2 linked regions of the Drosophila melanogaster genome follow. Changing the gene in region 2 together with the main gene of any one other region gives a genetic interaction. Each region holds a gene or a part of one and is shown on either strand. Other genes may lie near its edges.

Region 1 (3,926 bases), on a different chromosome or scaffold from region 2:
ACCATATAAGATTTCAGAAGGAAACATAGTGTGTACCTTGAGTGTGGCCTCGGAGGTGACCCTGGCCACCTTGAGTCCAGGCTCCAGGGAATCGTGTGGAAAGACTCGCACATAGACATCGATTCCACCGCTGGTGGAACGTCGTTTGGCCTTCTTGCCACTGCCGCCGAGTGCAACGGAATTGGTGTTGGTGGTGAGCGTGGACAGAGTGTTGGTCGATCCAGAACTGGCCAGCGTCGACGTCGAGTGGGCCAGACTGGTGCCGATGGGTCCGCTACCGCGGGCCACCTCCTCGTTGGGCAGATACTGAACGGTGCAGGTGAACTGTTCGGTCATATAGGTGGGCGCCAAATGGGATACCTGATGCACATAGTGCCACTTCAAACGCTCCACACTCAGCGAATTCGCTTTTAGACTGCGGAAAACCTCACGTATCTTGGAGCCCACAAAGAAGCTGTGGGCGCGCCACAAGCTCGGTGGCAAATACAGTTTGTAAAGCTTCTCGATGGAGCGCATCGCCTGCTGATCCTCCGACTGTTCCTGATCGTCGATTAGCATATCCATCACGGCCAGTCCCGTTGATTTGTCCTTGTGCTCCGGATAGCGAATCTCCGGGATTTGCTCGGTCCGCATATCGTAGCGCATTTGGCGGTAGAGGAACTTGTGGCTCCGTCCATCGATCAACTCCAGCTGGCTATCCAATTCGGGCACACGGAAACGCATCCGAAAGCAATAGACCAGCTGGCAGTTGAGTCGCTCGCCGGGCAGGCACCACGTCAGATCCAAACGCACCAGCGGCGAGGGACGTCGCGATGTCGAGTGCTCCCGTATTCCGTAGAGCAGCTGGGCAATTGGTGCAATGCCCAGCTGGCGGCACATCGTATTGCAGATCTCCTCGCACAGCATGTTGGGATGGAAACGCTCAAATTCGCCGGTGGTGAAGTTGAACACACGGATTGTGCCATCGTTGGTGTGGATGCTCTGCGAGGAGGTGCCGCTGCGCAGCGAGGAGTTCGTCAGGCTGGCGCTGTCCGCCAGCGAAGTGCGTCCGCTGCTGCTGTCGTCCATTCTATCCTCTCCCCCGTTGGCCAGGGCCATGAGAGGATTGTCGGTGAGTGGTCCCTTGTGGGCTGGGTGCTATCTGCTGCTCCTGCAAGCCCAGTTCCTTGGCTGGAGCAGTTTCCTTACGCGGCCGCACTGAAGCTAGATCATGGGAGCTTTCCTAGGAATTTGCCGCGTTCTATCCGTTTCCTCTTCTTCTTGCCAATAACAATGACCACCGCGACTGACTTGAGTTGCTATTTTTGGGCTTACTGCGAATGCTCCTGGAATCGGCGATGCTCTTACCCTTGCAGTTGCAAGGTTGCCCCAAACTCCAGCGCGAGTTCCATTGATGCCACTGGCGGGGAACCACCTGGACTGCTCCTTCTTTTAGCAAGCGCCAACTTTCCGAGCAAGAACCACTTCGCCACTTGGGCGATCCGTCAGCAAAGTAAACTGGAAATCGGAAATCACAGTGCACTGGTCCGAAATTAGACACCCGAAACGCCAGCTAGATCCCGAAATTTGTGGGGCGTTGTGGGAACAGGGCGACGGGACTGGATGGCGATTATAGACGCCTTCGATCTGAAAGTGGGCCTGCTGTCGAAACGAAGCTGCAATTGCGAAGCTACAATACAAGCCACGAATTTCAGTGAAATTCATCGGACAATTTGCACCTCACGATATCGATTGGCCGACGGCCGAGCCACTTTGTCATCGATTGTCCAATAACCTGTACTATCGCACCTTGCGAACCAGTGGTTGGCAACGCGAGGTTCTAGTTCTTTTTCGATAGTTCTCAGTAAATATAAATAACAACTTACTTTAGAAATGTATTCTTGAAAATTGTATACCCTCGTTGGCAGGAGGAGGATGCTTAAGAAAAAAAAATATACTGTTATTTGCTCTATGGCGTCTATATTCTTGCCATTTAAATATGACAACAGTGCAAACAGTGCAATATGCACGGCATTTCCAGTATCGAATAGCTTTGCTATCGAATACACATCGATTTTTGTAATTCCACAGTTCACAGCTGTCAGTGTCGTTTATATAACCTCAAACCTTAGAATATATGAAATTCCGGACGAGCCCGGTCAATTTGTAGATTGCTCACTGAAAATCACACGATGTCCGATTTTGAGAACCTTTCCGGCAATGACAAGGAGCTGCAGGAGTTCCTCTTGATTGAGAAACAGAAGGCACAGGTCAACGCGCAGGTGAGCCGGGTTCCCCCATACACATAATAACCATTCGTAATCATAACAATATGCCCTCGCACATTATATCGTCGCCAGATACACGAGTTCAACGAGATCTGCTGGGAGAAGTGCATCGGCAAGCCGAGTACCAAGCTGGACCACGCCACCGAGACGTGCCTGAGCAACTGCGTCGACCGATTCATCGACACGTCGCTGCTTATCACCCAGCGGTTCGCTCAGATGCTCCAAAAGCGAGGTGGCGGCGACCTGTAGATTTGTTCGCTTAATCGACACCGACACCGGGATCTGGGTATCCGAGTCCGTGGACGCTTCCGTCACTGTCCTACTGTTAAATCTATTTTTAAACAAAAAATTATCATGTAAGCACATTTTTTTCCGCGCTGCGTTTCGCCGCCGACATCCAAAGTATGTGGCCCGTAGTCTGCACCCAGCCCGAAATTGAAATCCGTGATTCGAGTTCCGGAATTAATATTTAATTCGGTAGCGCAACTCAATTGTTTGGTCGGCCCTACGTTAGCGTACCGAAAATAAATACATCTTTCGTTTCGTACGTTTAAAATGCATTGTGTTGTAATCCTTTGCTTGGATAGTTTTAATCTCTTCTTTTATAATGATGAAATATTGTTGATAGATGGCTTAATATTATGCAGAAAGGAAAATAGAATTGAAATTGGATCATTTCAACATACATTTAAATTTAATTAGGCTGGAAAGGGGCTTAGAATGAAATAGTAGGTGTTCCTTAAATGTTTATTAGAATAAATAAAGTTATTCCATATCGATAGTATAGTGCTTCCACTCGATAAGTACCTATCGGCAACTTTCCAATTGGAATTCATATTTACGCAACTTTGAACACACAAATGTAGCTGCCATTTCCTGTATAAAATGTAATACTAAATGTAATATTAATGCATTTCTGCTAAATCCAAAGGTAATACTTGCAATGCTTGCGGACCTATTTCCCGCGCTCGCTTTGAACGTTTGCCCAGGACTTCTGATTGGGCTGCACACGCAGCGCGCCTCTGGTCACACTGATCCCAACTAGAACTAGTGTTCCCGTGAGCAGAGCAGAAAACCGTAATATATATTCTCCAACGTGCTGCCGCTACTTATTTATATTAAACATAAAATGCCCGAAGGCTGTGCCAAACGCATGTCCTTTTTGCCAGTGAGTGTGTGTCCGTGTATAATATACATAGCAAAATATACAGTCGGTGTCGGTTTCTGTGAAGTGTAGAAGTTCAGAAGGAGAAGCGAAAAGCGTGAAAAAGGATCAAGTGAAGAGAAGCATGAAAAGTTACCTTGATTTGCCTGCAGGACTAAAAAAGGGACATTAAACTTTTTTAACGGTGCACCTTTTAGTTTTTTTTTGTGTCTCTGTGTGGTGGTTGTCCTCCTGCTTGCACTTGCATGTGTGAAAGGGATGTTGTTGTAAATACAGATGATGATATAAAGCAAGTACAGGAAAAGTCAAATAATTGCCGAAAGGGCACGTGTGTGTATGTGTGTGCGTAACGGTACAGCAGCCAGCTGATTTTTTTTCCGTGCGAAAACACTGCAGTTGCAATAAGTGTGTATGTGTGTATGTGTGGAGCATACATAATTCACAGCATCCATTTTTTTATGCATTCGCTGAGAGGAGGGGGGTTAATTTGCAAT
Region 2 (3,926 bases):
TTATAATATTTTTGATTATATTTGATGATATTTATTGTAAAGAAATAAATAAATAAATTTTAATTTTTGTTACATTTGGTAAATAAAAGATATATATAGAACTATATTAGGCCCTTAGATATATTACATCAAAATTCCTTTAAGTGTAGCCCATTCAAAAGATAGGCTTCCTCATTTTCCACTCTCCACCTAATTTTTTCATCTGCTTTCAGCAACTGGCACAATGGAATTGCATTGAAAACAAACGGTTAAGAATGTTTATAAACAAAACACAGAAGGAATGCGGTGGGTGGATGGTGGAAAAGTGGGCGGGGCTGGGGCCAAAGTGGCGCAGAAGGTGAAAGTATAACGATAAACGTAAACAGTAAGTGGAGGTGCGAAAAAAATGCGTAAACACAAATCGCATTGCAACAAAAAAAGAGTGTGCACCAATCAGCAACATGTTGCTAAGACACCAGCAACTTCTACGGCAATTGAGCGAGAGAGAGAGAGAGTGAGCGCGAGAGAGACCGAGTTCATTTTCGAAGTTCAACTTCGAAAGAGAGTACTTCTTGGGTGATATGAGAAATAACATTGAATTTTCATGCCGGCTGGTGTTGTTGTTATTGCACTTTTACATGCAGCTGAAAAACAGCAACAAAGAAGAAAAAACCAGGAAAATGCTGAAATCGCTGCCTCCCCCTGTTTTCGCCACCACTCCCATCAGACATTGACCTTGATAGTGGTCGTTGTTTTTGTTGCTCTTCTTCACTTGATTGAACGACAAAAAGTTGTTATTTTTGCTTACCGGTAAAAAAAATGGTAATCGATATGATGAAGTATAATTTAGTTTTATTGGGACATTTTCGAATGATACATTTTTAATGGACAGGTGCAGAAATTGATACACTTAGATGAGTAATTTAATGAGCTTATTATTTAAAAAACTAATTGCTAAATCTGTTTTCAAAAATCAGTCATACTTATTATCGCTCGACTGTCTTTAAATCTGCTTTAAGTTTTTATGTGTTTAATAAAAAAAGAAATTAATCCCCAAGCTTAAGCAACATGAGAAATGTTGAGTTACCATTTCAACATTATGTGTTCATATTTTTACAATGGGCTTGGCTTTTCTCAAATATGATTATGATGTTTATCATGTTATTGACTGTCACAATATCACAGCCAAGGAACTACCTATGTTTTCCTGAAACTTTCCATAAATCGTCTTAATGGGCTCGGTAGATAAATAAAACGAGAACAAATAGCAAATACATACAAGTTTTTGGGTGACACTCAAATATAATTGGAATTGATTAGGAATTAAAATAATACTTTTCAACGGTTGCTAAACTACATGATTGTACATCTTTTGGGATATGTACATAAGAGTTCAACGGCATACGATTTTAAATGCAAGGTAAACAAATCGTAAACATTCTTTGGTTGGAAAAGACAGAGCTAGGTGTGCACTTTTAAATAAAAATGTGCCAAGCAATATTTAAAGTAAATTTTTTTATGATTTTATTTGTACTTTCGCCAGCAACATGGACAATTTTCCAGCGCCAGCGAATGTCAACTGCAACGAAAATGTGCGAAAATGCCGATTAGAACGAGCCCGAATGAGTTCATCCTCTCTCTCGGGAAGTTCATTTCCCCGAACTCTCTCTCTGGATTCGGCAGCGGCAACCGATGTCGATGTTGCTGTCGTGTTGTTGCCGCTGCACATGTTGCAGATGTAGCTGCCGTCGTCAGTCGCTCGAAACGAATTTGGAATTCAGTTTTTGACTCGACGTCGCAGGAAACGGACGTGAGTGTCTCGCATGTTGCCACAATAATCGAAAAGAAAACTCTGAACGGAATACGAGACTTTTTTCAAGATATGTGAATCACTAGTGGATTACTGAAAACGAAAATAAATACCAACGAAAATATTTACCACAAATCCCAAGCAAACGATACGCGCGTCGTGCAAACTAATAATAATAAATCAAATACCACAAATATTCTGTGTTGAGTGATACTCGAAAAGTTGTCAAAAATCAAAGCGAAATTCGCAAGCAATACATTGGATTAACAATTGGCTCGAAACCGATTTGATTAGCTAGCAAAAGACAAGCAGAAACAGTTTATCAAACCACTTGACAAATATCCGTTGGACTATAAAAGCAGAAAAGCGGGTAAGTGGGCAGGGAAATGGAAAATGAAAAATCAAACCTGGATATGCCGCTGAGAAATTGAAAACTTTTACGCACCGGATTAGTTGGCGATTTTGGGTTGAGCTTCTGTAGGCGAGTGACAATCTTCTTAGCAAAGATCAACGGAATTTCCCTTTGATTTGGGAATTACAACATTAAAGTATGTTTTAAAGTTGAGTTTTCTAATCTTCAGAGTGCAGTGCTTACTAATTGAAACGAACTGAAAAAAGGCATTCCAGCGGAGTGAGGCCGTAAAAAACGAGATTTATAGGAGGAAGTTGGGGAATTATTCAAATAAGCAAGTGAAGGATTATATCCGATTCCAAACAAAATTCCCCGAAAGTGTGCGTTGTGTCTATCGAACAGATATGTTTATCCATATAAAGTTACGCCCGAGTGATGAGTGATTTTTGTGGAAACAGCAGATAGCTGTGCAGCTATCTGCTATCAAGCCATAAAGCACAGAACTCTTGTGGCGACCCATGCGGCTCCATCAGAATGTAAACAAATCATCTCTGGGTTTCGCTGGAGCTGCGGCTTCTTCCCTTCTTCAAAGCGTAGAAACCGCCAAAGAGACGAGAAAATAAAGAGAAGAAAAGACTGCGAGGGACCTTTAATTATAACCAAATACTAGTTGAGGCGACACCTTTGTTTACCTGCATTTTCGAGCGCTGTGTTTTTCCATTCTGTAAATTTGTTTAAATTATTAGCAAACGCGCAACAAGTGCAGCCAGTCGAAGTTCATTATTTTCCCCAATTCTTTGGCGTGTAAATCCTTTGGTAAATAAGTAAAGTATACCCCGCCTGTCGTCGGCGCAACTCATAAATTCACGCAAAATAAAATTTATGCTTATGGCTGGAGCTGGGGAAGTCGGACAAGAAGATGTACGAAGGATCGCGATAAGATCTGGTCTTAAATGAGTTGTTAAACGGGAATCGTGGTCGCCATGGATATAAATAATAATAACAACTCAATCTGGAGTGGCGTGGGTAGCTCGAAAAGTCCTCGGACAAGTGAACTGTTGCTTGCGGTCACAATGATTCTGGGTACTGGATTTTGAATCGATTTGAATCGTGTGAATGGGAAGCATTCTACCTGTTTGGCAAAATGAATTTTAATTCGGAATTGAGTCGTACACATGTCGGCCCTTTTTCACAGGATTTCCGCTTGCTGTTTAGCCTTTTTTTTCGAATGAAATCCCTCGGCTAATTAGTATGCCAAGCGTGTGCCCCTGAAATTTATAAGCCAACTGACTTTTCTCTGTAGTTGAAACATAAATTTCAGTAAAAGTGTCGTCTGTGCACTAGAGCACAGCAAGAAGTATAGGCCTTTTTATAAACTTGATGTGCCAGTGATGAATATTTGAGTGCAGACGATGACTAAAAATATCTTATTTGCTTTCTGCGGCAAGTCTGCATCAAAGAACTAAGTTCATTGAATAGGCCAACTTATGGCAATTCCTAAGCTACTTACAAGGTAAACTTCGCTCAGACCTCAAACAGAAAGTATCTTATGCAAATAAGTCGCTATATGGCGGACAGAAACAAAACATTCGCGCAGGAATATTAAGCAGTAAGAAATTGTAAACACAAAGGAAAATATTTGTTATACGCTTGTAAATTTATAGCGGCAGCAAAGTCCAGCCAAGCAGAGGAAAGCGTAGGAAAAGCGAAAGCGCACAGAAAAGCCGGGGAAAATTCAGGAGGCTGTTTTTCACGCTCAGCTGCCCGGCGGCCGAAGAGGAACTG

Evidence for each region.
Region 1: of pxb (region 2) and hop, changing one enhances a phenotype caused by changing the other (phenotypic enhancement), as found in Drosophila melanogaster (one study listed by BioGRID).

The regions. Positions count from the first base shown.
Region 1 is NC_004354.4:11,366,365-11,370,290, forward strand, and holds the start of hop (hopscotch), read right to left. Parts: upstream 1,735-3,926; 5' UTR 1,099-1,734; coding exon 37-1,098; intron 1-36. Other genes in the region: Tim8, read left to right, coding at 2,172-2,261, 2,340-2,516. UniProt on the Drosophila melanogaster protein: Tyrosine kinase of the non-receptor type, phosphorylates the marelle protein. Required maternally for the establishment of the normal array of embryonic segments: involved in the control of pair-rule gene transcription in a stripe-specific manner.
Region 2 is NT_033777.3:15,664,428-15,668,353, forward strand, and holds the start of pxb (pxb), read left to right. Parts: upstream 1-1,755; 5' UTR 1,756-2,159; intron 2,160-3,550; exon of another isoform or gene 3,551-3,750; intron 3,751-3,805; exon of another isoform or gene 3,806-3,926.